Linked DNA regions of Astyanax mexicanus. The protein of the gene in region 2 purifies or fractionates together with the protein of the main gene of each other region. This does not show direct contact. Links are inferred from orthologs where the notes say so. Each region holds a gene or a part of one and is shown on either strand. Other genes may lie near its edges.

What was found.
Region 1: the proteins of nedd1 (region 2) and c15h10orf88 purify together in Homo sapiens (co-immunoprecipitation; 3 studies listed by BioGRID and IntAct, counting the BioPlex papers as one, with this or other methods). This does not show direct contact. The link is inferred for Astyanax mexicanus from reciprocal best matches to the Homo sapiens genes NEDD1 and C10orf88.
Region 3: the proteins of nedd1 (region 2) and tubgcp4 purify together in Homo sapiens (affinity purification with mass spectrometry; 3 studies listed by BioGRID and IntAct, with this or other methods). This does not show direct contact. The link is inferred for Astyanax mexicanus from reciprocal best matches to the Homo sapiens genes NEDD1 and TUBGCP4.
Region 4: the proteins of nedd1 (region 2) and tubgcp6 purify together in Homo sapiens (affinity purification with mass spectrometry; 3 studies listed by BioGRID and IntAct, with this or other methods). This does not show direct contact. The link is inferred for Astyanax mexicanus from reciprocal best matches to the Homo sapiens genes NEDD1 and TUBGCP6.

The regions. Positions count from the first base shown.
Region 1 is NC_064422.1:21,124,856-21,132,206, reverse strand, and holds the start of c15h10orf88 (ATPase PAAT), read left to right. Parts: upstream 1-4,336; 5' UTR 4,337-4,405; intron 4,406-6,871; 5' UTR 6,872-6,878; coding exon 6,879-7,048; intron 7,049-7,193; coding exon 7,194-7,351. Other genes in the region: zgc:174164 (disintegrin and metalloproteinase domain-containing protein 9), read right to left, coding at 2,372-2,453. UniProt on the Homo sapiens protein: ATPase that regulates mitochondrial ABC transporters ABCB7, ABCB8/MITOSUR and ABCB10. Regulates mitochondrial ferric concentration and heme biosynthesis and plays a role in the maintenance of mitochondrial homeostasis and cell survival.
Region 2 is NC_064417.1:36,561,880-36,568,792, forward strand, and holds the start of nedd1 (protein NEDD1), read right to left. Parts: upstream 3,018-6,913; 5' UTR 2,836-3,017; intron 920-2,835; 5' UTR 909-919; coding exon 773-908; intron 447-772; coding exon 352-446; intron 267-351; coding exon 150-266; intron 1-149. Other genes in the region: sh3gl3b (endophilin-A3b), read right to left, coding at 4,740-4,948, 6,159-6,233. UniProt on the Homo sapiens protein: Required for mitosis progression. Promotes the nucleation of microtubules from the spindle.
Region 3 is NC_064430.1:32,433,676-32,441,691, reverse strand, and holds the start of tubgcp4 (gamma-tubulin complex component 4), read left to right. Parts: upstream 1-5,012; 5' UTR 5,013-5,124; coding exon 5,125-5,202; intron 5,203-8,016. Other genes in the region: CDKN2A-interacting protein, read right to left, coding at 1,317-1,444, 2,108-2,346. UniProt on the Homo sapiens protein: Component of the gamma-tubulin ring complex (gTuRC) which mediates microtubule nucleation.
Region 4 is NC_064409.1:46,359,642-46,366,809, forward strand, and holds the start of tubgcp6 (gamma-tubulin complex component 6), read right to left. Parts: upstream 3,014-7,168; 5' UTR 2,807-3,013; intron 1,020-2,806; 5' UTR 982-1,019; coding exon 193-981; intron 1-192. UniProt on the Homo sapiens protein: Component of the gamma-tubulin ring complex (gTuRC) which mediates microtubule nucleation.

The DNA.
Region 1 (7,351 bases), on a different chromosome or scaffold from region 2:
GTTTTCTTTATTTTCATGACTATTTACATTGTAGATTTTCACTAAAGACATCAAACTATGAATGAACACATGTAGAGTTTTATACTTAACAAAAAATGACCTGGCCTCCACAGTCACCGGAACTGAACCCAACCTTGATTGGGGAGCTGGACCGCAGAGTGAAGGCAAAGGGTCCAACAAGTGCTAAACACCTCTGTGAACTTTTCAAGACTGTTGGAAAACCATTTCAGGTGACCACCATGTTTTCAGTTATTTCACCATTTTTTGTTAAGTACATAAAACTCCACATGTGTTCATTCATAGTTTTGACGCCTTCAGTGAGAGTCTACAATGTAAATAGTCATGAAAATAAAGAAAACGTATTGAAAAAGAGAAGGTGTGTCCAAACTTTTGGCCTGTACTGTATGTGTTTTTATACTTACTACACAAGAGATACAAACTTTATTCTATTGTCTGGACGTGCACAGCTTATATTGATACTACGGTGTTTCTATGTTCTACTGAGAATAAAATATGGGTTAATGAGTTTTGCTAATTATTTTATTCTGTTCTTATTTACGTTCACAATATGTTTTACAAGAGATGTATAGTAATGAAGTGCGAACTACTTCACTACTGTAATTAAGTACTAAGATGCTGTATCTATATCTACTGGTGAACAATTTTTTTCTCCTACTTCTACTTTTACTTCAATAGATATTATGAGATGACTTAAAGTGGCAGTCCTTACTTTTTGTTTCTAAACTGAAAGCAGAGGCATTTCTGAGTGGAGAAGGGATCAAATATTGTTTTTAATGGTACCAGTGTACTGGAAGTTACGTGGGAGTTTTCCTGGTCATGTCACACATCCTTACGTACTTATGTAAAGATAAAGATAAACGTAAAGATGTACAGCCTCTAAAAGAGGATCCGGCTCAGTTTTACTGAATGCGAGCTGCTGGTGGAGCAATGGACACTTTAGAAGAGGAACCTCAGAGCTCAGCAGCTCATTCACTCATAGTAAACCAAACAAAGTAGAAAAGTTTCTGACTGAATGCACCACTCTGAAAGGAATGAAAATGATTCTTCCACATGCTCGGTGCAATTACTTATAATTTTCTTTACACATTATATTTTTAATGTGCTACATCTTTACTCGTAACAATAATAAAAATGTTAGGAATCATTCCAAAGCCACATGAGCACTGCGGTATCAGAGCGGTAGATGCTCTGTACAGTCACTGGGTTTGATAAAGCTCCTTATCATTGCGGGAATCAAGAGATCAAGCTAATCTTATAAAAATACCTCCCTGCCATATTGCCTTTCACTCTGAGAACTTTCCACTGTTTTCTGTAATAACAACAGGACACAGTACTGTACTTTTACTTTCAGTTAGTCAGTACTAAATTTTACAATAAACTACTTGCCATATTAAGTACAAAGAATGTTGAACACTTAAGTAATTCCACTAAAGTCTGGTGCTTAAAGAACACTTCAACTTCCACTTTAGCCACTTTAGTTTTTTGATAGAGCTTGTACTTAAGTCTGAGTCTCTACAACTTTATACATGCCTGTATTTTACATTTGTCACAACGTTTTTTGAAATTGAGATTATAATTTTAAGATATATTTTCAAATCCACCTGATCAATGTTCAGTCTATACAGTCCAAGAATGAAAAAACTAAGCTCCAAAACCAGTCTTTCTCATAATTTCTATTTATGTAAAGTCAATAAAATATTTTCTTTGCACTTTCGCATATTATACAGTCTTCTACAGTTCAGCCAAACCAAACCTACTCATCCCATTCAATCATATACGTTTGGAAGAGTGCCATGATCTTGAAATAAAATCAACAGAGGGCAAAGGGCAAAACAGAATAAGGTCATGTATGGTTTTATATCTACTGTGTATATATAATCATGTCTTAAACTGACAGTGACTAAAATAAAACATTTCAATGTAAGGAGAGGATGAAACATGGTCAGATAAAAACATGCTGTCTGTTTTTGACCCATCAATTCATACAAACATCACGAATGGAGGAAACAAGGACAAAAAATAGGATACAGGAGTCGAATAGGATTCACAAAACTGAGCAAACCAGTCAGCTATTTTTAGCTTTTGCTCATTTGCTCATTTGGTTGTGCACTATCACTAAGAACAACAACATCCCAACACTGAAAATACTGTAATATGAGCCTTGAACAGCCATTTGAAACGGTTTCATTGCTCTCTGGTTTTGAACCCTCCACAACCTGATCTGTTCTTAGGTTTTACTTAAGCCTCTATTTTTCTATTCTTTAAAAAAATTCTTCTAGTCTTAATTCCACCTCCAGACTCAAATTGGACCCTCAGCCAGAGCCCAGACTATCTGTCAGGCCTTACTTACCTTTACTCTCTGCTGTGTAAAATAATCCAACTGTGAGGGACAGAAAGAACAGCCCGGCTCTCCTGCTCCTCTCTCTCTCCATTATGTGAGCATGACACAGGCTTCCAAAGCTGTTTATCCAGACAAACGTGAGCCGTAGGTGTGTATTTGATACCGTGTGTATCAGTCCTGCAGGTGAGCTCAGGTGTGGAGCGCTGTACAAGGGAGCTCAGGTAAAGTGGGAGGGCTGGAACTGGACAGGTGGGATGGGTGTTGTTGGGATGCTGTCAGCTCAGAATACCACACAACACTTATGCCATTATCCAGACCGGTCAGGCAGGACGGGCTGCAAGCTTAACAAACCTTCTACTGAGCACTGCTGGATAAAAAAAACTTTCACTGTCACACTATCTGCTATCTTTAAAGACAAAGACAATCTCCATTTGTGTAGAACTTGGATGGAATTTGACTTCTGCCTTTAAGCCATCCATGCATGTCCTTCTTGGCAGTGCTCTGGAAAAAAGGAGGAAATGAGGGAAGGTTGGGGTTCTTGCTTAGGGACCCAGCAATTCAAGTAGCTTGGCAAAGTCCAAACACCAAATTCCAACGATAAAATATTGTCATTAACAGCATTTATTTGCAGAAAATGAGAAATGGTTGAAATAACAAACAATATGCAGAGCTTTCAGACCTCAAATAATGCAAACAAAACAAGGTCATATTCATAATGTTTTAATGTTTGAGTTTAGAAATCAATTTTTGGTCGAATAACCCTGGTTTTTAATCACAGTTTTCATGCATCTTGGCATGTTCTCCTCCACCAGTCTTACACACTACTTTTGGATAACTTTATGCCACTCCTGGTGCAAACATTCAAGCAGTTCTGTTTGGTTTGATGGCTTGTGATCATCCGTCTTCCTCTTGATTATATTGCAGAGGTTTTAAATTTCTTAAAATTAAAGAAATGCATTCAATTTTTAAATGGTCTCTTATTTTTTCACAGAGCTGTATGTCTACATTTTGGATCATTTCTTTGTCTCTGTTTGTTTGCCTGTATGATCATATGGAAAAAGGCTCTCCATAAAACAAATTTTGGTTTTAGGTTGAGAATACCCACTTAAGTATCCTTTCCAGGTTTGAGTCCAAAATAAGCCGGTTCATATGGAGCAAATGAACAAAATCAAGTTTTATATATGTTTAATAACTTTCATACTAAACAATGTGCTCATTTTCTCAAGACAGTACAATAACGAATGTTTTAGCACCACATACATATTTTTAAAGCTTTTTAACTCCAGGTTAATGCCATTGCTCTGACTGTAATTCCAAAATCAGCTTACCAACCAGCCAATTAGCTCACAGTAGCAGTAACCCTAGCGTCTTTACTGCCCTTTACTGGAGAAAAACAAAAAAAATCAGTTCGGTTTTCTTTGTTGTTGTTTTTTTGTGAAATACTTAATTTTATTTTCCATAATTAAATGGAATATCCTGGACAAGCGATTAAGTACTATTTTTATGAGTTTTAGCTGTTTAGCTCCATTCATCCCCATTCATTTTGGTCTTACTCGCGGGCTTCCTCTAGCGGTTGGCAGGCGTTCAGTAAAATATAGTGGGGAAAAAGAAGTGGATAGGTTCTTAATACATCAGCTCTTTTTAGGCTTTTACATTAAAAGAGCTGTAATTTGACATAAAGTAAATGTGTTTTTTCTTCTAAAGTCAGTTTATTTAGTCCTCATAATCACAAAATATTGAAATGTACATATTCCAGAAAACAACAACTGTTTCTTTCTTTTTTTTTCTTTTTTTTTTTTTAGAAAAAACTATGTAAGGTATATTATTCTATAGCACTGACAATCGATCTTTTTTCAGGAAGTCTATTATTATTATTATTATTATTATTATTATTATTATTATTATTATTATTATTATTATTATTATTATTATTATTATTATGGGAATTTTAATCAGGCGCTTGGGTGCGTCCTCCGGCTCTCGGGTCCTGTGGCTGTAGGTGAGTCAGTCGCAGTGTGATGAGTGAGAGGCAGCAGCACCTCGGTGAGTAGAGTGAGATTTCATTAGTCTATATTTATTTTAATTTACTAGTTAAAGCCTGTAGAGCAGAAGTATAAAGACTCCTCTCACAGTTACAGAGTTACAGGAGTTCAGTGTGTCCTGCTGCAGGGCGCTGGAGAGATCAGAGCTTCAGTCTTAAGAGTTAACGTTAACATCACATAGAGGCTCAGCACTGGAGCTTCAGTATCATTACTGGTGTTAATATAATAATATATGACAATATGTATTAATTATAATAGTAAAGTCATCGTTTTCACGCAGTTCTGCTGTTCTGTGTTCTGTTCACTTAGCTTGATTCTTATTTAAGCTCAGTAACACCAGGTTAACTCAAGCACTGCTGAATTCACTCGATTTAAAGTATTGATCTGATTTTTAATCACTTAAAACTGAAATAACTAACCTACATAAGGCTGGTGTTTGCTGAGCTTCAGGATGACAGTATGTAGGCTGTGCTGGTTTGTTGTTCAGTTGTTTTGTAGCTGTGTTGGGTTAGCTGGATCAGTAACTTTACTCGGTGTGTGTCGCCGCTGTGTGGGTTTCGCTGATCTCCAAATCATCTCCCGCTTCGCACCTGCAATCCCCTGCATGAGCTGTAGATCTACATCATCCACATTTAAAGCAGTAGTATACAAAGTGATTTTATACCTGATAATTAAAGATTTGTATTTATTAATTTATTTAAAATGAATGTGTTCGTTTTTTTTTTATTTTGTGTTTTTTCATATCCACACCTTCCTATAACAATCTTCCTTAAACTCATTTGTTCCAAGTTTTTTTTAGGAAACACAAAAAAAAAAAACATATGACAGTTCTTATGACTTTAAAAATGAGCAATGGTTTAAGAGAATAGTTTATCACACAGTTGAAAAGTAGAACCAACCAAAAACAGTCTTAATGCAACATTCTGTGAATATTAATTGAAAAGACCGAAAACAATTAGCTTAACATTTAACAGCCACAAATTGTAGAGCATTTGCAGCTAGCTTTTTGGACGCATCTATTTTACTGACAGAAATCTATGCAATATTTACAATCTATTAACCTTTATATTATAGTAAAAATATCATTACTCACCAATTAGGGAAAACACTGAATCATTGAAAGTAGCCGCCATCTTGGAAAAGTATTAAAACAATAAATATGAAATAGATATTGTTTTAAAATTTTACAGTTTCATTTAAAATGAATATATTTTTTCTGTTTCTTTTGTTTTCCTTTTTTTTCATTTTGACACCTTCCTAAAATAATTGCTTAACTAATTTTTTTTTACTTTTTCAGAAAACATTAAAAAATCATATGACCGCTGTTATCAACATTTAAAAATGAGTGATGGTTTAATAGGATAAGCTTAATTCTTATTTACAATTCTGAAAAAACTGTAACATTTTAAAAGCCTTAAATTGTAGAACACTTCTAGCTAGCTTTCTGGACCATGTGTCTATTTTAATGACTAAAAATGCAGTTTAAAAATGAAGCAATGGTTTGAGAGGATAGATTTAAATCTTTAATTCTGAGAAAAAATGGATTTAAAAGACAAAACAGTTTTAACATTTAACAGCTACAAATTGTAGAACATTTCTATCTAGTTTTGTGGACTTATCGTATTGTATTTTGCTGTCAGTTTTACACAGTAAGTCAGGTCAGTAATTGCACTCTTTAACAGCACTGCAAATTATAGTTAGTTTGTTTTAGCGGTTGATTGTGTTGGATATCTTGTTTCTCTCTCTTTTATGTGCTCTAGTTGGTTGTAAAGGTCAACTAGATGTTTTAGCTTGTGTGTAAGCCCCCCCCCATCTGTTTTCTACCCTTAGCCCTTCAAGTTCATTGTGATTTTATTTATGTTTATGTATGTATATTTATTTTATACATGTGTGTGTATTTATTTTATATATGTTTCATATGTATGTTTATTTATTTATGTTTTATATAGGCATTGTAATAATTTTGCTGCCTTAATGTAGAAAATCAGTAAAATCAGTTTAGGAGCATATAATAGCTTTAAGTTCTCTAGCCATCTTATCAGATGGATGCAACTGTGTCTTTTACTTTACAGATGTAGCTTTATATCCCTACTATATTTAGCTTTATTCTTTATTCGATTTTGTATTCTAGACTGGGGTAGAAAAACTGTTGCTTTTGAAACATGTTAATGCTTTTAAATTTTTTTTTAAATGTATTAGTATCTGTAAATCTACCTGAAGATCTATCTGAGATAGTCCTCATCCTTCTACATTATTACGTCCTCATTCTGCAGTCTTCCAGTCTCGCTAGCACCATGATGCCACCACCACCATATTTAACAGTTTAACGCATTAACTGCAAAATACAAAAAGAGGATATTAACATCAGTGATAAAATCCTAAATCTGTGCACCCTTTTATTTAAACATTAATACAAGTTCATATAAGTAAACTAAGTGTGTGTTGTGTGCATTATGTGTTTGTTCAGGTGCAGGATGAGTGTGAGTAAAGGAGCTGTAGTGTGTGGAATCTCCTCGTGGGTCTGCTCCTCCAGCTCTCAGATCTCAGACATCATCACCACTGTACCAGAACCTCAGCAACCCCAACAGCAGCACCAGGGGGGAGATCAGCAGGATGTAGAGGATGAGCTCGGCCCTGCTGCACAGTAAGACTACATATTTTTAAACAAGAGTAAAAAGTAGCTCAAATTGGGCTACTAGTAAATGAATGAATAAGTAAATAAATATCCTATATGACTCTTCAGTGAATATTTCTGATGGAGATTGTTACTCTGTGAACTTCTGTTGTAGGTGGGAACCTGTGTGTTTGGAGCGTGCTGAGGAGGGGTCACCGTGTGTCATCACGCTGCTGTGTAAGCCTGATTCGGGGGCTGTTATCAGCAGTATTGTGGTGGTGAGTGAGGCGCGCACCGTGGAGGTGTACTCTCTCTCTGGAGATTACTGCGGTA
Region 2 (6,913 bases):
CAAAGAAAGACGTTTGTTTTTTTTTTTTTGTTTGTTTGTTTGTTTGTTTTTTTTTCCCGCATTTGGTAACTGTTTTTTAGTCTTAAAGTAAGAAGCCCACATGCAACTGTCATTATATATATAAAAACAAAACATACAAAGTGAGTTACCTTGAGGCTACGGTGCAATCTCTTTGTCTTTAAGTCCCAGATGTTAACGGTATTGTCTAGGCCACCACTGACCAGAAACTGTGATGTGGAATTTAGAGCAACCCGTGTCTGCTTTTTCTGAAAGCAAAATCCCAAATACAACACATATGAGTACTAAGACATACTTTAAGTGCTTATTACCTTTTGCAGTGTGTCTACTGACCCCTTCAGCAAGCTCCATTACAGGGACTGGTGAAGACTTCAGGCTAGTCACCACCAGCTTGTCTCCTATACTGCTGGCACTGACAATGTACTGATCTGACTGGTGTCAAGGTACAACACAAATTAGTGTAATTATTCTACAGAATCATTTTTTTAAATCAGGCATGTCCCTGAGTCTCAGAAAAATAAACTGACAATGATTAACAACTGAGTTAATATACTGGGTCAATCTTTTAAATATCAAGTAAAGCACCTCTAATTTCATATGAGATAAACTGCAGTGTTGTTCATGATCCAGAATTAATCATGAAACTAATGCTTTTTTTAAATACGTACAGATTGTTACCTGATCAAAAGAGAAACAGACCTCTTAATAAAACCCTTGATTTCAGAGAAAACATAAAGACAGCTGTGAAGGATACTGCTGCTGCTCCAGCATACTTGGGCCAGAGGGTGGGTGGCACTGTGGGGATTGAACTGCTCCACTACAGTCATAGAGGCTGAGTCCCATATCTTCAGGCAGTCACCTGATGACACCAACCGGGTCAGCTCCTCCATAGCAAACCTCTCTAAAGGAGAAGGAAAAAAAAGCAACAGCTGTTAGACGCATTCCAAACACAGAGCTCTGAGCTCAAATGACCTATAGTGAATTAAATGTTTCCCCTGAATGGTTTGGAATAATTTGTAACATAAGACAGCTCACACAGGCCTTGTTGCTGAGTAAGCCAAACTCAAATAGACTGCCTTACTTCATTTGATGAATCTACCCTTTGTTTTTGTGATCCACATTAAAAACAAAAAGTGAATCTAGCAGCTGATGTCAAAATTTCATGACGAAAAAAAGAATCAAATTTTTTTTTTAAAGTGATTCTATTAAAAGATTGAAACTTTTTGCAGTCTCCTGAATAATAATCAATCAGAGATATAAGATATATGCCTGAAAGTGACATAATATAAGCACACTGTACAATCTAAACATTTGTAAAGTAACAAAGAAAATATTAAAAGAAACAATTTGATCAGTAAAAATAGAAAACTATTTTGTTGAGAAGTACTCAACAAAGTAAAAAGTAATATGATATGATAAATATAGGTCAGTCAAGCTCCCAAAAAATCTTTGAACTTTGAAAATATACTCAATGCTGTAAGAGCCCACATAAATGCTTCACAGAGAATTTTGGTCTGGTTAACATTTTTAAGTTTACTGTATGATTCCTTATGAGTTTCTTTATAGTCTAGATGACTTTAGTGTTAATTTTAAATGTAGGGAAAAAAACAACATCAAACCAAAGGTTTGACTGGTACTACATATACAATGCTGGAAAAAAATGAGAGACTGCTTAAAAAGGATGAGTTTCTTTGACATTTCCAAATTGAAAACTTCTGGAATATAATCAAGAGGAAGATGGATGATCACAAGCCATCAAACCAAGCTGAACTGCTTATATTTTTGCACTAGGAGTGGCATAAAGACTGGTGATGCATGAAAACTGTGATTAAAAAATATTCCACCAAATATTGATTTCTGAACTCTAAAAACTTTATGAATAGGAACTTGTTTTCTTTGCAATATTTGAGGAATATTTGCATCTTTTTTGTTATTTCACCCTCATTTTCTGCAAATAAATGCTCTAAATGACAATATTTTTATTAAAAAAATGGGAGAAATGTTGTCTGTAGTTTGTAGAATAAAACAAACATTGTTTATTTTACTCAAACATATATCTATAAATAGCAAAATCAGACAAAATGATTCAGAAACTAAAGTGTCTTCATTTTTTCCAGAGCTGTATTTTTTTCCCATGTGAAATCATAAACCTTAAGGCTAATGTTTATTTTAATTTTAGTTGCTGTACTTGAAATTAGTGTTAAGGGTTAGACATGTCACCGATTTTGCACAAAGTTTAAATGTGCTTTTGGGACCTGTTGAGATTTCATCAGTTTTGGGGATCAAATTAATTCCATGTTGACAGGCTGGAGAAGGTTTTAGATAAAGCGGTTGAGGTTTCTGTATTTTTTATAATTCAACTGTGCTTATAAATAATTAATAATTTAACTCCCAACCTTCTTAATTTTGCAGTATTTGTGCTTGTGTGTGTTTATTATGGTTAGAATAAAGAGTTTATTACAAGTTCCTCAGGGTCCCAAACATTTCTACACCACTGTTTCAATAACAATCAGATGTCTAGCTAATCTAACGCTAACTAATTTGGTGAGCTAACTTAGCTTAGCTAGGTTAGCTAACTAGTTATTTAGATACGGATACGTTACAACCGAGACATACACCTCAAGAAAGATCTGTATTGTATCATAGAACGTTACATAAATAGCCAAACCAAAATCCCCCTGATTCAGACTTTCTACAGAACTGTAGGGCTAGCTGAGGTTATACCCAGTCCGACACTGTTTTGCTAGCCTGCAGAAGTAACGTTAAGTTGTCATCTCTGAGGAGTTTCTGTGTATAAAGCTTCTGTTCAGTTCTTACCGTGAATTTATAGATAAAGCACTTTTCCCCGAGTCCAGTTATCCCTGTTTAATCAGCAGTTTCTCCTCCGGCGCTCAGTATTATAATAATTCCCACTTTTTCCGAATATCTCAAAGTGTTTGAAAGTCTGCAGACTGACGAGGGAACCGCCACTACGGCACGCCAGCAGGGTCAAAGCTAGGGATGGGCACTCCGACTCGGAGTCGGATGAAGAGTCGACTCTTTAGACTCTTCATTCATTCTGCAGCATTGCCCGTTTTACAGCAAGTCATTTCATTTTGGATACAACCAGATAGTTCTATACTAATAAAAAATAAAATATATAAAATATTTACTGCCATTGCTTTTCCATGTATTACTTTTTTATAATTTATATTAATTTATAGCCTAACCGTTTGTATTTTTTAGTTTTTTTTCTTGTTTTAACTTGCTTTAATGCTTTATTTTACAGTTTTCCCAAATTATGTTAATATATTTTAATGACAATGATATCTTAAATGCTTAATTTTCTTTTCTTATAAAACATCATGCAAATCATTCAGAGCTGCTTTTCTGTATAAAAAGTGCTATCCAAATACTACTACTACTAATTATTAATATTATTATTATTAAATTAAATAATTATTATAATTATTATTATTATTATTATTATTATTATTATTAATAATAATAATAATAATAATAATAATAATAATAGTGTTACACTTTAATTCTTTATTTAATGTATTTCCTACATTGTAGATTAATATTAAAGACATGACCACAGGGGACATATATAGGACACGTATGGAAAGTAGTAAACAAAAATACATCAAAGCAAAATGTGGCTATTTGGAAGTATAAAACATACTGGTTTGTTTAACACTTTAATGTCTTCAATATTACATTTACAATGTAACAATGAATGAAAAGAAGTCTGTCAAAACTTTTGTCTGGTACTGTAGATTTTGACATGATTACCTGTGTATTGAAACAATGGGGCACTATATAAACTTGAAGAAATCCACTAGAAATATAAAACCAGAAAAGTGCATTGCACAGGAAATACAGAGTAGTTGATCATATATTATTGATCAGATAAGTGATTCACACCTCTATGCAGTTGTTTGGCTGTTGCTTTGTAATCACTAGTGTGAAACTGTGTTTGCTAGGTGGTTGACATGGTATCACAGATAGTTGCTAAGTGATTTCTAGATGGTTGATAGTCTTGGTAGGGGTGGCTAATGTTATGTAACATGTTTACCAGGCAGTTGATATGGTATATTAGTTGGTTGCTGTGGTGTATCAGGTGGTTGCAGAGGTGTTGCCAGCTGTGGCTGTGGTGCCTCATGTGGTTGGTTGTGCATAACTAGTGTATTTGTATCAAGACAAAGAAGGGTGCACAAACATTTGCACATAATTTATTCAAATTGAGGGGAAAAAAACGTTAAAATGTTTTGTGTTTAGATATTTTATTCTTATTCCTAAATCACATAGTGAACCCTGACTCCGTAATCAGGCACAATAATTACCAGCATGGCTATATAATAAAAAACAGCAGTATCACATTTTCATATTTTTATATGATAAAACACAGCACATTTGTGCGCTGTTTATTTGCATATATTTTAAATTGAACATGAAAATTTGTATATGATACAAAATGATACAGGCTTTGAATCCTATATATGGCTACTGTATACCATTATTTAAACCACCAGTTTGCTTTTGATGCTGCTTATAAAACAAATGTCCTATAGTTTCTCCAGTGTTCAACATACACATCAGAGAAGATCAAGGCTGGATACATTGCATAGTGGTAAAAGAAGCTTATTCTTTGCATAAAAAGTGCTGATCACATTTTTTCAAACATCAGGGACTTCAAGAGTTCATAATATGCCTTAATGCACCTTAATGAGCTTCTGTCATTGGGGCAGAGGTACAAGTACTTTGACGTAGCTGATGGGAAAAAAGCCTGACTCTCCACTGAGCAGGCCTTCATACCAGTTCTCATCAATCTGGTTGGTGAGAATAATGAAATCTCCCTCCTTGAAGCCCAACTCTCCTTGATTTTCTGGTTTAAAGTTGTAAATTGCACGACAGCAAGGCTGGTCCAGGTGGAAATCATTGCCATCTGCAAAAAGAAAATATCCATGTTATGTTAAAACGACAGTTTCTTTCAGTGTTGAAGATTAAAAGTGGGATTAATATACAAATCTAATCTGATTTTTTTATTTATAATTTTCTCCCCAATTTGCACAGCCAATTACTCAACCCACTCATTAGGACTTACCCTATCACTAGTGATGCCCTTGTGTTATAATCGTGAGTCTTTCAGTTGTTGAGACTTTCAGACTAAATGATTGATCAGCGACACAGGGTCACAAATTACACAATTTCTCATCGTGGGAAATCGCAGACTCACCTGGCTGCTCTCCAGAAACACGTTTCGACACGAGAACATACCTGAACTAAACGCACACGAGAACTAGCAATGCCATGCCAGAGAATCTCTATAGAGGAAAATGCGCATTCGCAATGAGTCCAACATGAACGGGTTCATATGAAGCAACTAATCAGTTATATATTGAAATATGTACTTATGTCCTCAACACAGAATTATGTCAAATGTTTCAGTTCTGCAGATTATTTTTTTATAGTTTTGAACTCCAGTTATAAGCCTTTTAAACATGTTTATCTGTATCTCCAGGATCAGCTCGCCAACCAATCAACTTACAGTAACAGTAATGTTAGTCTTTAAAAATGTAAAATATGATTTATTTAGATAAACTGAAATATACAGGCATGCTCTCTTTTTTTTTAGTAAAATGTATTATTATACTTTCTAAAATTAAAGAATTATTCAGAACAAGTAATTCATAATTATTTTTAATTTAAAGTTTTTAGCTTTTAGCTCCATTCACCCAATTTATAGAGGAGTCACTCACTCACCCTCTAGAGTCATTTACTGATATAACAGGGGGAATGGTAGGGTGGTCAGACACTCCATAAACAGCTCTGGTGTGTTTTGGACTCGTGGTCCTTTTTCTGTGATCTCATTGGCTGTATGTAGATGCTGCTCCTGACGTCTAGTCGCCGACTGAGTCAGATATTAAACACGAATAGGTCAGTCATTGAATATTTGCCGGGTTTCTGCAACTCATCAGCGATCAGTCATCCGACACTGATTGTCTTTTAGTAGATCACACTACGTGACAGTGTGAGCGCAGAGTGATCCCCGATTTCCCCCCGAGCAAAGTTTTTGTCGGCAATTTTGTCGGGAAAACTGTTGGCGACTAAAAACTGCCCCTAAAATCGTGTAGTGTGAATCTGGCCTTACTCACTTTTATAGGCTGGATGTTCTGAGATTTGGGGTTTAACGGGCGTCTGGTTGAGTGTGTGAACCACTGGAGTGACATCTAGTGGTAAAGGATAAAATGCATATTAGCAAGAAGTAATAAAGTCAATTAAAAGTCAACCTGAAAGCCAAACTTTTACCTTTCTGTCAATAGCTTTGGTAATAATAAGCACAATTCATGAAATTATTAAAGAGACAAAATTCTCGTTTTCACATGATCCTGAACATCTCCTGATGTCTGATCCAATTCACCCGGGGGTGGGGCCAAGCAAACATAAAATAATACAAAATGTTAAGATTCACCTCTTTCTCCCACAACCCCAACCTATTCTCAGCAGGAGAAAATGCTTAGTTAGCTCAGATATCCCCCTGGTACTGCTCTATTCTTGGAAACATGTCACAAGAAAGTGTCTTTCAGAGTCCTATAATTTAATATTATGCAATCTCTAACATTTTAATAAATAGATCAGGGGCTTCATTAACTGCATTAGGTGTATATCTGGACTAGCTTGGAGATTGTTGACTGTTACATTAAATTGCATGTTAAAATATGGCTTAGTTAAAAGAGTATGTGTCAGAAAAGGAAACTACCACTAGCTACCACAAGCAGGTGGTCAAACCCCCTTCTGTGTCTGCAAAAGACCTGCAGCAAGACTTGGTTGCAGCAGGCACTTTGGTTTCAGTTTTATCAGTAAGGCACCTATTAAAAGTCTTCAAGATGTAAATCGCTAACTTACCCAA
Region 3 (8,016 bases), on a different chromosome or scaffold from region 2:
GGATGTTTTGATAAATCATCGCATTCAAATGATCCAATTCATGCAAATATCCATGTATGATAATAACACACTGAAGCGCATCACATTTATAATACACAGCAATACCAGTAACACAAAGCCAGCCAGTATAATAACCAAAACTCAGCTTTAATCCCTGAGGGCAGCAATACAGGACACAATCTCTCTCTCTCTCTCTCTCTCTCTCTCTCTCTCACACACACACACACACACACACACACACACACACACACACACACACTACTGGTGTGCCTACAGACTCAGGTGGGACAAAGTGTATTATTGAAGAGGATAAAATACTCCTAAATAAGCAAATATCAGGAATTATGGATTTATTAGTGTCAGATTCACAGAGCTTAACAACCAATATTCTTCACTGAAGGTTTACCTTATTCAGTGGACTTAAGCGCCACCATGTGGATTAATGAAGTGGGTGTTTAGTTTCAATAAAAATATTCATGTTTGACACCACATATTGATTATGTAGCAAAAAGGAAATAATATGATATCACGATAACAGTATTTTTGGCCATTGCTCACCATGATTAACACCCCCCCCCCCACACACACACACACACACAAACAACAAAAAACATACTGTATTTATTTAAATTAAAATCCTTTCATTTTCCCAAAAATTGGCAGTGTGCTTTATGTATAAATTTTACCAGTCAGGTATTAAGGAGCAGTAAAGCCACTCCACTGAAGTGCAGCACTATAAGCATTAGCATTAACCGCTAACCTCAGCACTAGCTCTTTTACCGTTCAGAGGTGAGTATATTGGACTGTATTCTGTGTGTTTGCCGTGTTAAAACAAGCTATGTGAGATGAACCGCAAGCTAATAGCATCATGGGTTACCGGAACACTCAGGGTTCTAGCGCTGCGGTTAGCTGCCAATGCTAATGCTGCTGCACTCAGCCTTAGTGCTGGAGAATCTTCACTGAAAACTCATCCTTACACAAAATATTGGAAATCTAAGCTTACTGCAAATGAACAAAAGCACTTTACTCACCCAAATATAAGGTATTCAGGGTAACATTTTTCTTATTTTTTTTTTTAAGGCGGTTTTGTTAACTGCGCTTCCCCAGCTTCCCCATTAGAAGGGAAACATGCACCCTTGCTCACTTTGATGTAGGCATCCCTACTAGGGTCGCTTAGTGTGCCTTATGATCCAATGCGCCTTATGGTCCAAAAAATACGGTATAAAGGTGTAGGCATCCTTAAGCCGTCCCCTTTTTACGATTAGTTTGCACAGTGCGGTCCCATGACTGTATACAGGCCACACTGTCTGTCTCACCTGAAGTTAAAGGTCTTTTCCCCTTCCCTACGATTTCACCTCTCGTCTTGTGAACACAAACATCAGCTTCGTTCACAGTGATCCCCTCTGCCATCTCATTCACCTTGTTCACCACAGGCTGGGGGTATCTACAACAAAAGCACATGTTTAAAACAACAGCACTGTGTAGCTAATGCACTTTAGCAGATAATAAGGGTGTAAGAAAATATCAATACCATTTCACACTATATTGTTTGCGATTACTTTCAAAAACACAGACTTGAATATTAATAAGTGGTTTAGGTGTAAAGTTTGGTGTCACACAGTAGTTAATTTAAACCGGATCTGATTGAATGAAAAATTAACTATTCTTATTCATGTTTTATTTTATAATAACAATGTTTTCATTCTATATGATTTTTTCCTTATATTTGATTTAATCTAATCATTTAATCACAATGTCACTTTGTTTAGAGTGCGGCAATATATTGTGATGTATTGAATCGTGATCCCTGTGATCTGCTATCTGTGCCATGTTATCTATTTCTGCTTCTTGTAGGTACAGCTGCTAATCCTACCTTTCTTCATCATTTCAAAATGATAGAAACAGCTGAATGAGGGATTATAAATTACCTCAAATTGTCTAGAAGACATTTACATACAAAATGTTCTGGTATTTAGTGAGTAAATATGTAATCTGTTGTGTTTTGTCCCTTATGGAGACCAAGTTGAGTGTAAACTGTATGAGTGAGTTCATTAACCCCCTCCCTTTGTGTTTCTATAAAGATTGCATACAAGGACAGAATGCTTACCGACAGCCTAGGAACACAGAGTTGGCCCAAACCTTGGACAGAGAGAGGAGTTTATCGAGGCTAGGGCTCATGGTGCCCGGCTGGAGGTTTGGAAACGTCTCCAAGTTGCGAAGGACAAATTCACGCCTGGCGAGCCACTGCTTACTGGTCTCATTGTGCTCTTTTAAAGACTCCACCCATTGTGCCAGGTGCGGGTTTTGACTAAGGAACTCAGAAACATCTCCATTCCCTTCTGCCATCCCTAAAAAAGTGGGTAAAGAATACTTTAGTTAAAGCACAAAATGACTGTCAACTTATTATTATTATTTTTTTTATCTACTCTTTCTCTCACACCCACAACTATATACACACAAACACAGCCAGTCCTTCTCTCTTTCTCAAAAGCCCATTTCCTCTTTCCAGGTTGTTACATGTGGAATATAGAGCTACCAGCAATTAATTCTTATAATTAATTACTGTTTTGATCAATACAGATTTTGTTTTTAATAACACCACTTACATAAGTATAATTTTATTTTGCAAATCTATAAATGCTTCTTTTGTTTACATTTAATTAACTATTTAAAAAATAGTCTTTAAAAAAAGAAAAGGCGAAATTCATCATGCTTAAACAGAATATTTTTTTTAATCGTGTAACACCACTAATCATAACATAAAAAAAACGAATGAAGCATAAAGGAAAACACCAATCATTCCATCAATTAGTTCTAAACTGTGTTTTGACCTGTTGGTATTTTTGCTATAACGATACTTTTGCCGATATGACAAAACATTGATATTAAAATAAAAATTCAAAAATACATTACTGCAACAAAAAGAAAATAACATTTTATTATTGCATATGATATTACATAGAACACCCCTAACTGAGATATTAAATAATACACAAATTTTATCAGGTTTGTAACAGAAATCAATGATCCAGAATGTGATGATACTAATAATACACTCCATATATCTCCATATATCCAGGATTAAAGTAAAATAAATGATACTGGACAGATGTAATCTTTGTCTAGTATATATACAATTGAAAATGAGAACAGTGTGATATTTTCTGTCTTAAAAATAGTAATAAACTAGTACCCTGATGTGATATTTATGGGTGGGTGATATGGCACCATATTTCAGGGTCTTATATAGTTCACGATATTCAAAAATGTTGGCGATATTATTTTGTTCAATGCAATACAGCACACCTCTAATCTGATATATTTTGGATGATCAATTGTTTGAGATAATTATTGAGATAAACAATACTATTGACAGTTTTAGAGACAAATTATGTCATTAATAAAATAATATAAGATAATCCATCTCGTCTCTTGTAAAGAATAGTTAACAGGCAAATATTCATACATTGGGATGTGAATACTGATAAAAACACAGTTTAAACAAAGCTGATATATTGACTCAGTCATGTTAACACAAGGGGTAAAAGAAAGTTCAGCAAGAACTGGATTTACTGTAGATCCATTTTTAACTTATTTAAAAGAAAAGTCATGTTTTAAAAATGCGAAGACATTAAAGCTATAATAAACAAAGATACTGGAATCTGTTTCTGCAGTGTATCTGTACATTATCTGTAATATCCAGGTAAAACTGTCCGTGTAATTCACTCAGCACTGCTGACAGAACAGCCGGGTAAAGTAATCTGTAAACATGAAGCTCAGCTTCCTGTTGCTCCCATTAAACCAGCTGTGATTAATAACGTTACCTATATGACTGTCTCCCCCCCACTCCCCCCCCCCCCCCACACACAGTTATTCAGGTCCAGATTACAGACAGATAGATTAGTTTATTTTAGTTAGCTAACTGAGTTCCCTACAGTTTAAACCGCTTTAACCATCTTTAACCATCTGCCTCCATCTGTCCAGCTGTAAAAACTGTAAAAACACAGCGAAGCTAAATAAGCGCCCAGACAGATAAATACAGTAAACTATACACATATATTAATTACAGCCCATAATACCACATCAGCAGCTGCTGGTCCCCTTTATTCTCAGTACAGCGCGTTAGCAGCGGCAGGCTAGGCTATCTGTTCGCCAGTGTGTGTGATTAGAGGCGCCTGTGATTACTATATTATATACAGCGCTGAGCTGAGAGTAAAACCAGCAGCAGTAGGTTATCCGAGTCCGGAAAAGCAGAAGGTAAAACCAGAACCTTTAGAGAGCCTCTTTTCGTCGAGTCCACATAACAGGTGAGGATTAAGTACCAGCCAAAACAATATTAAGGAAACCTGGAGCTACAGGACTACATTTCCCATGTTTCGCTTGAGCCAAAGGACTACATTTCCCGTATTTATAAAAAACTTTGTTTTTAATGTTTTAAATGTTTATCTTTTATGAATTCTAATTATAACTTTGACCTCATATTTAATGCATATTTGACCATTTTAAATAAAAAAAACATACAAAATAGAATAGATCCTAAGATATTTTGCAAAAATGTATTCTTTTAAATATAGATTGCATTTCTGCCAAAAAAAAAAAATCTGTAAAGAAAATGAGGAAGCCTTTCGAGTTTTTATTTCTATGTAAGTGTTGTACTGTCGTAAAATTAATTATTTCTGCACAACATATAAGAATAATAAGAATAAAATAAGAATTAAAAAAAATCTAATTTCGAGCTTCCCACTTGTAAATACAACTCGTTGTTCCAGTGCAATTTCATTTTTTTTACTAATAGTTCTTTCCTATTTGCAGCACTGCTCAAACGCAGCATAACCTGCTTTGATCTAACATTAAAAACGGGTTATTATTAAATATGTGTTTTTGCAAAAGCAAAAAGGGACGAACTCCTAGCTACGTTGAGCTAAAATACTACAATTCCCTAGTTATGATGAGCTAAATGACTACATTTCCCTAGCTGCGTTGGGCAGAAGGACTACATTTCCCGGCGCCGGGAGGCTGTTTTGGCGGTGTTGGTGTTAGCTGCTTTAGCTCGCGCTGGTTTAAGTTAATGGATGCAGTGGAGTAACCGGTTATTACTGTAAATATTAATAATCACCTGTAACCATGATCCACGAGCTTCTGCTCGCTTTAAGTGGATATCCCGGCACTGTTTTTACATGGAATAAGAGGAATGGATTACAGGTAACGAGATGTGCATGAGATAACTTACCCGTTAACCAGTACTCTGTGTTATTAAATATTACTCTATAGTAAGCTGCTGTAGATAAATATTAATTTAGTCCAGTGTGATATTTGTGTCCTAATTCACAGCTGTGTGGAAACCCTTAGTGTAGAAGAGATCGATCATCTCATTCATTCATCATACTGAATATAATTATTGATCATATTCAACTAGTTATTCAGATATAATCACTAAAAACTATGAAATATTGGTAATAACAGTAATTGTTGCACTGTTGTCTGCTGTTTATAGTGCACAGACCAGGCCACACTGACTTCTTCTATACACTGCACTTAAAGTCAAGTCAAGTAGTTTTATTGTCAATACTGCATATGTACAGGTACATACTCTCCTTCCCAAAGTTACAACAAGTAAAGCAAATATATTCATATACAAATATGAATCATAAAAGAATGAGAGATACTAAATGCACAATATAACAAGGTCACATATATAGACATACGTGAGACAAGAGACAATAGTGCAACAGTGATGGGGGATTAAAGAGGGAATTATCGTACTGTTGTAAACAGAACCCATATAACAGTAATGCAACTATAGAGGTATAAAGCTAAAGGCTCAGAAAGTAAAACGAGTGCATAATAGTTCCAGTACTAAGTTTCAGTACTGTGTTAAATCCTGCATTAAGTTCAGTAGTGTGTTGGTACTATTCATTCACTTACATTCACATTACTACATCTTTTGGATTTATGTTTGGCGGTGTTTCTCAAAACACTACAGTATTAGTCATTTTAGTAATATATGTGTAGAAAGATAGATCATTAAATTGATCCCAAAGGAAATTAGGGCATCCAGTAGCTTAAACAACACATTGTACAGTCATAAACACACAGGAAGTATAGATATATAAAACTTTGGTAGAACAGTGCAGTAAATCAATCAGCCAATAAATAATCCATACAGCAAAAGTGGAAGTTGCAGATGACACTGTATTTGGAATAAAGTTACTAGGTGTGCTAATATACATGTAACAAAATGTATATTAATCATGTGCATGTACCCATAGGTGCATATACTTAACACGGGTGGATTTTACCAACACGCAAAGCAAAAACGAAAAAAATATATATATATTTTTTGTACATGCAAGTTTAGCTAGGCGAGGTAGACTAAGGTAGCTTCGGCACAACCATAAATTGGTCTTATCCCATTGGTGCCCAAAAAAAGAAAGAAAATTAAGCAAAGGAAGTCCAGCACAGAAAGCTTAACAAAGCTCACCAATTTTTTTCACAGCAGCAAGAAAAGAATCGTCTGGTGAGGATGAGGCACCAGAGACAGCTAGGTCGTCAGAGTCAATATTGCATTTTGCTATACAAAAGAATCCATTTGATCAGGGCCCCCGGAAAAAAAACATTGCTTGTGGCCCCAGAACTTCCAAATCCGCCCCTGATCATCCATACCTGTGGGTGACTGACCCAGTCTGTCTGTTGAGCAGGAGTCTGACACTGAGTACACTCCTCTGCTTCATTAAGATGGTGTGCCGTGAGTCACTATCATCGCCTGTGATAGAAAACGAAGTGTTTTCTTACAAAGTTTAAATTGTAGCTCCTAAGATAAAGAAGCATGGCTGTTTGCTCTCCATATGTACAGACATGGACAAAATTGTTGGTACCCTCAGTTAATAAAAGAAAAACACACAATGGTCACAGAAAATTTGAATCTGATAGAAGTAATAATAATTAAAATGTTATGAAAATGAACAAACGAAGGTCAGACATTGTTTGCAACCATGCTTCAACAGATTTATTTAAAAACAAATAAGCTCATAAAACAGGCTGGACAGAAATTATAATACCTTTAACTTAATATTTGCTTGCACAACCATTTAAGGCAATCACTGCAATCAATTGATTCCTAAGACTTCTGCACCTCTCAGCAGGTATTTCATGAACAAACTGCTTCAGTTTTCTCAGGTTTGAAGGGTGTTTTTTCTAGACAGCCTGTTTCAGCTTCTTTCAAAGATGCTCAGTTTAGGTCAGGGTTAATAGAAAGCCACTTCAGAATAGTCGAATGTTTTCCTCTTAGCCATTCTTTGGTGTTTTTAAGCTGTGTTTTGGGCTAATATCTGGTTGCAAGGCCCATGACCTGCGACTGAGACCAAGCTTTCTGAGCAACACATTTCTCTCTAGAATCCTTTAATAGTCTTAAGATTTCATTGTACCCTGCACAGATTCAAGGCACCCTGTGCCAGATGCAGTAAAGCAGCCTCCACCATGTTTCACAGTAGGGACAGTGTTCTTTTCTTCATATGCTACATTTTTCTGTCTGTATTCTGTCTGTCTTCCATTTTTCAGTCCATATGACATTCCCCTAGAAGCTTTTTGGCTTGTCAACATGTAGTGTGGCAAATTCCAGTCTGGCTTTTTTTATGTTTTGTTTTCAGCAATGACGTCTCCTTGGTTGTTTCCCGATCTGACACTGACTGTTTCCTGAGCTTAAAGTTCACCTTTAATCTCTTTACTGTTTTTTCTTGACTCTTTTATTACCATTCGTATTATCTGTCATCAGTTGTCATCAATTATCCTCCTGCCGCCATGTCCAGGGAGGTTGGCTACAGTCCCATGGATCTTAAATTTCTGAATAATATAAGTAACTGTAGTCACTGGAACTTCTAGCTGCTTGGAGATGGTCTTAAACCCTTTACCTTTAACATGCTTGTTTTTACTTTTCCTTCTAATCTCCTGAGACAGCTCATGTCGTCAAACAGCGCAGTGACTACCTGTAGCCCTGTATATAGGCCCACTGACTGATTA
Region 4 (7,168 bases), on a different chromosome or scaffold from region 2:
AAATGAAAACAGATAAATCCATCACTGGTCTGTTAAAAGGTAATAAGCCAAATAAAGAAAAAAATAGTCTGTCACAATGTGGCAATTAATTTTATAAGCTCTGTATGAATTTAAAAGCTAATTCTTTGTTTTTAGTTTTACCTGCTCTCTTGTATTTCTTTCTCTCTCTATATTAAGCTTCTGTTTACATACCCGAATAGTGAGGCCAGTGACCTCTGCGTTGCTGGGCACCGGTGGCAGGTCCAGCCGGATGTCTAGATCTGCTGTTCTGAAGTGCTGCAGGGCTCCAAACAAGGACAGCCTGGTGTCCCTCTCAAATCTCTCCTCCACCTCCACTCTCCTGCCCAGGCCTGGAAGACCGGTTCCAGGTAGAGCATCCATTAGGCTTAGGGTCCTACACATACCCCCAAATGCCCCCCACTCCTCCTCACACACCAGAGCCCACGCCCTGCTCTCCAGTTTCTGCATCTCCTGACTGAGATAACCCCCCAGCGGTGGTCTGCGGAGCACCGGCCGGTCCCGCCGCATGTAGTCTCTGCTGAAGGATAGTGCTGGAGGAGGAACTGAACCGGCTAACTGCACCAGGAACTCCAGGACTGAGTCCACCTCGGACAGGCCAGACGAGAGGGCCACTTCACGGAGCTGCGCCAGGAGGCCCTCAAGCCTCTCCGCTTCCTCAGTGTGGCCAGAGACACGCAGGTCGAAAGAGATCATCAGCATCTTGTTGTAGGCGGGAGTGCTGGCCAAAGCGTTTGCTGTCAGGCTGGATTTGGAAGAGCCATCCTGGAAGAGTTTGGACAGCAGTGCCCCGTAGGCTCTTTTACGGAGGGTGCGGCGGAACGCCTCCCTCGAGACGCTGCCCATAGAGTGGCGCTTCCATGATACTCCAGACAGGCTGCAATCACACAGTGCCCCTAGGAGCTCTGTAATGCTGCTGCTGGAACAAGTGGACATTTCAGTAGAACTCTGGCAGCAGTACATGGTGAGGTACTGGCACTAAGATCAGTGGATCATCTGCCCTGCAAGAGAAAACACAAGCACAGATACATTATGATTACAAGCCTCAATTTAAAAAAAAAAATCTTTGCATATTTTACTGGCTAGTTCTACTTTGCCTATGTCAAAATAAGTACATACATTTTGGTTAGCAGGAATGACAACTGCTAAAAGTGTTTTGTTTAATGTTGGCTTATTCTTTATGCACTTCCTTTTGAATACAGTTTGTTTAAAATTGTCTTCAGCTAGAGTTCATAGATTAATTGTTAAATATATTATTATAAGTATTGAGATAGTGTATTGCAATACAGTAGCAATTTTCAAAAACAGTATTGATTCTTAGGGTGTTTTGACACCTTAAAGTCTGGAACGGTTCATCAAGGTTTTGGTTTCACACTGCAGTTTGGCGAGCAGACTAAAAAACTACATCCTGTTGTTATCAGCTATGTGAACATGAGTCTCTCTACGCTTAATATTATTTGGTTTGTAGAACATTATGTAAATTATGAGTTTGACAAGCAAATTGAGTGTAAAAGACTATATTATCCTCAGATTTCTTTTATTCCTGATTATAAATAAGGGATAATCTACTGTTACAGTAAATAAATTAATTGCCAGTCTAAGCATTCTTGTCTATAATGCTGCATGATGTACCTGCACACCAGGCAGGGTCGGATTTTGGCACACACACGATTCTTTTTTCGTTTGTTTTGTTTAAAGATGGCCTCAACTACCTGCAATTGGTCAGAAAGTCAGAACTATCTAGAAACATGTTTTCACACTGGAGGTGAACCGGACCATGGTTCAGAAGATCTGGACGGAGAACACCTCTGGTTGTTTGTTCCAGACTGTGGCTTGCTGCCTTTTTCACACCTGCTACTTTGGTCCAAAGTGAATGCTTGAAAGTCCAGACCAAAAAAGAAAAGTGTGAAAGAACCCTGCATTATTAGTTTACAGGTAAATATTGTACCATGTTCTTTTCAATACACCCCCTGATAAGAATATGGTTGAACAGAACTGAAGACTTATGCAGATGAGTCATGATCGATAAGGACTGGTATTGAAGTATTGGACTATATGCTTATATATAGATATGTGTGTGGTGGTTGGGTGGGTGTGATAATATAATACTGACAAATACTGTCATTTTGTATATGAAAACAATAAATATTTTATTACTAAACATGCAAACAATGGCACTGTTATATATTTTTTAAATCATGTCTTTCCCAGAGCTTTATTCTACATTCATAACTTTACTTTATTCACATGTTGTATGAGCATCACTTGATAAGGTTATAACTATTAAAGCATGGATAATGGCATAATAATATTGGCAATATTTTAAATAAATATACATTAATTCAAGATAATGCTACAAATATTTTGTTTACAGAGCCAAAATAGATGAAACACAGCCACAGACAGTGTAGTTTATATAACATACATACTCTGCCTCTATTAGTGAATATAAAGAATACATCAGGAATGAGGGAGGTTATTAAACATTTGCTTATAGCTAGTTAACTATATTTCTCCAAGATTTAACAAGATGAACAACCGTTAACTAGCTAGCCAACCTAACCTAGTGATGTTAGCGGGTCACTTGGCCTCTCAGAAGAGCTGGTTTATAGAGTGTTATAATTCAGCTGTATGTGTGAGTGAGTGTGTTATGGTGTTATTATTGTTATATAGTTCTCCGGCTCTGTCTGAGTGAAGCAGGTTCTGTTCAGATTGTTAAACGCGGAGGTTTATCTACTCTGAGCTCCAGCAGTAGGAGGACATTGGCGGCTCTGCTCTCGGTTCTCACCCGGGCTCTCCGCGCTTCCTCTGGGCAGCAGCTGCAGGTCTGTCGCTCCAGTCCGGCTCACAGCGGCTCCATGAGCCCCGACCGCGGAGCTGCAGCGGCGGCAGGTCTCAGTACAGCCCGCCGCTACAGCAGAAAAGCTCCAGAACCGCGTCTCTACTCTCATTCACACTGTAAACACCACTACTGCTGTTATTTCCTGTCATTTCCACTCAGCGACCGCGCGACTTTTCAAAGCCCCTCCCTCCCTGGGGCATGATTGGGTGAAATTCTCTGTGTTGAGCTGCGATTGGATAAGACAGTTAAGCTGGTAGTGAACACTTCCGGTTTAAAAGCGCGCCAACTTGCGGATGATTCAGGAATTACCAGTAACTCTCTGCACTGCTAAACCAGCACTGCTAATAACTCTGAAAATACTGTTACTGCAGGTTAGTCAGTAGCATCCAAAAGTCAGAGCATTAATGCCAAAGACTAAACGTTCCTAAACATAGATATTTTAATCAATGTTATCATTATTTATTTCTTCTATTTACAGTGTGGCTTGTTTGTGAAACCTTTAGCAAATTCTGTATTTCTTACCGATAAATTCAAAACTTCCATAGATTTCCTACGAAGTCCTAAAAGTAGAACAAATTAGTATACATGCTCATTTAATTTTTGAGGAAAATGATCCAGTGTTACATATATTTATGTAATATATATTTTTATGTAACAAACAAAAGTTAAATCATTTTCCTCCTTTTCAGCTGGGTTGATGTAGAATTTAGATTATCTATCTGCCCGAGCCCGAGCCGAACCTAATTATATTAAAGTAGAGGAAAGTCATTGTAAATTATGTTATTGTTCTTGGTCTATTTCGGTGTAATGATTGTGCAGTGCGTAGCCTTATTGCTTTTTTGAATTTCGCACTTTGGGCCCGTTCACACGAAGCTGGATATTGGTTTCTCTCTCTGTTTTGGCCTTCCGTCCACACAAAAACGGCGACTTCAGTCACTGAAAACGGAGCACTTAAAGACGCCTTTCAAGGCGGAGCCTTGTGGACAGGGAAAACTGAGCTTTCTGAAAACTCTGATGTCACACAGCGCATGTTGCCTTTTGTTTAGCATTAGCTTAGAGATTGGGAGGGGACTATTTTCTGTGCAACAACAGCGAACTCCGGCCGTATTTTTACAGCATATTTTCTCATATTTTTCTCTGACCCAACAGCGCGGAATTACCCAGTAAATTACCAAAAAGTAAATTTGTTTAGAAAGTATTTAAAATTCTTAAACCATGTTAAAATATATTAGATTAAAGGGAAATCATTCAGACATCATCCTTGTAGCCCAATTTACCAATGTTTAGGCCTGTGGATCATTTTTCAGTTTTAATCTTTCGAAGATCGGTTCTTAACAAACATTTTTCTTAAATAATAGGTCTATGATTCTTCAGTGTTGAAATTAAATAATTAAATAACATTATGAACAGATTTCGCTTATTAAAACAGCCTTATGTGCTTGGGCACATAATAACAGTTTATGGGGTGGGTCAGGTTGTGCTCGGGCAGAATGGGCTCGGGCCAGGTAGGGCTGGATTTTTTTGGACCTGATCTAAGCTCTAGTTTGATCGCTATTGTGAAACTATATGTGCAGCAATAACTACTAACTAAATATTTGTGTTTCCTTTGAAGAGTTTTTCGTCCATTTCCTTAACCAATTAATTGCTTACTTTAGGTCATCTTTTTATTGGATTAAGGTCAGGATGTTGACCATTCCAAAACATGAGCTGTATTCTTCTGTTTTCATTCTTTGTATGAACGATTTGTGTGCTTTGCAGACATCCCAAGTTGCAAAAAAATTATTTCTGAGAGGTACCACACTAAAAACTGAATGACCTGTTCTCTGCAAGAGAACATCAGAGAGCCGTTATTGATATGCGGTTGACTCCTGCGACTTAAGACCTCTGGCTTTGGGTCATTGTCTTGTTGCAGGACCCGCATTCGCTTAAGATTTAGCTCAGAAACAGATATCCTTTCAAGATGTATTAAATTCATAAGTTACAAACCACCCTAGATTAGATGAACCCACGATTTTTACAGCTTGCAATAAAAAAAAAGGAAATGGCAAAGAAGCTGAAAAGTCTGGGCACTCTACACGATCGTTTAGTTACACTCTGTTTGGCAAGTAACATAGCATTTAGACATTTTTGGAGGCAGCATGATTTTTATTTATTGCTTGGGGGATTTTAGCTATTTTGAGATCTTGTTGCACTGCTCTATCCATAGATTTTTGAAGATATTAAGGTTAGGGTTAAAGTGTTGACAATGTGTTATCCTTGATAACTGGATAAAGCTCCTTATATAAAACCTAAACACATATTGGTTAGCACTGGAGACAACTGAAGCTAGCAAATATCGTAAACTAAAGTTACTGAATAATCAGTTAATTCCTTGACTTTCAAGCATTTCAATATATGTGTTTATAATTCACTCCAAGATTCACTAAAGAAAAACTCAAACTGTTCTATTTTTTTCTTTTTCTCTCCAAATTACAAGTTTTTATTTGGGTATAATGGTTTAGCTAGATTAGCTTCTCTGCCAGCATGACTCACATGCTGTGATAGAGACAGAGAAATACACTGACATGCCAAATGTCATAGAATAACAGCAGTATGCAAACTGATCATGAAATATAACCTCAGTGCACGGCTTGGCAAGAGCCACACCTATATATGCTGTGAGGTGCTATCTTATGTATTAAGTTGAATATTTACCAGTGTGCTCATGGAGTGTGCTCATTATTGGAGGTGGAGCGAGGTCTGATAGTGGGTGCAAAAGGGGTGGGACATTTCATTTATGAAGATGTGAAGACATTTAACGTTCTTTAATCCACAGTGTTGTGTATACCGCTCGCAATACATCATAGAAGGCCAACCACAGTGAACAGTGCATTTAGTAGTAATGAATCACTGGCTAGAACTATCCGTATGAACTGACAAGTAAAATCCACAGTAGAACACACATTTCCTGGGATATAGCAAAAGTCAATGGACAGAATACTAATACCTGATGTGGCATATCAATGTATATGTGAAGAGAAAGAGAGATGGAGGTAAATGGGACTGTTAGAGTGAAGCTAGTTTCTGTAAAATTTGGCTTCAAACACAATCGCACACCGATGAGAGGCACTGGCGTGTTGCTAACACACACCCACAGCATCTGTTTGTGGTCAACCAATGCAATATTAATCATGACAACTGTCAAGTTGCTTTTTCTGGTTTTCTAGTTTAATTAAGGTCTGTGTTGCTCCTTGTGGAGATGTGTGTACATGTGCGTATATATTTGCAGTGTGTGTGTGCTCCTTGTAAGGAATATAAGTAAAAAAAGACCCAGGCTCATTAGTCTGTGTGAAGTATGAGGCTGAAGATTAATGTCATAGCTGTATTGCAAAAAAAAAAAAAAAAAACTTTTTTTGGCAGTTTTATTTTTCACACCATGTCAATATGTCACAATGAATGGACCAACAGAAATGCTCCAAAATGAGCTGGAATATTTTTTTTTAATTGAAGTTCAGTTAGTCTTCTTCCTTCTCCTGTATAGTTGCCATTTTTTTAGCATAACAGCAAAGATTTCTTTAAATGGTCTTGCATTTGTTTTGGTGTAGATTTGTTCCTTTGGTTAAATTGAGCCCTCATGTCCTGCAGAGGGGACCTCTCTTGCTCATGCTTTCTGTAGTGTTTAACCCTTTAATGGACTTGGTGTGTAGTGAAACATGATAATGAATACAAACTTTTGTTTTAAATAGCCCATCTCTGTTCATGCATTCCAAAATACAGCGCTTTTAGCAGATGCTCCCAACAGGTTTCCAATGCTAGAGATAGGGGCATTGTCCATGCAAAGAAATGGCTATTTTTACACCATTTATAAGCTCAAAGTAGCTCCAAAATGTATTTGTATAATTCTGAGGACCCTAACATTTAGAACGAGGCAGTGAGAACTTTGAAAGTGCACAGATTTATTAAAACAGGTTATTAAAAAACACAGTTTATACACACAGTACCTTGAGGTAGTTCCTCCTTCAGACATCACCATCTTGAAATTAAGTCACGATAAGTCGATAAGCCATGGAACTTTATGAATTCCAATTTTTGCTGAAAATATTTCTACATTATTAACCTATATGTTTGGACTCGTCAATGACGTAATTTTAAGATGGGCACTTATTAAAGTTCTCAGTGCCTCGTTTTAAATGTCAGGATCCTCAGAATGTTCCCAAGAAAGCTAAAGCTAAATATTATGCCCCAATCTCTAGTATTGAAAGCCTGTTGGGAGCATCGGCTAAAAGCGCTGTATTTCAGAATGTTGGGGTGAACAAAGTTTGGCTATTC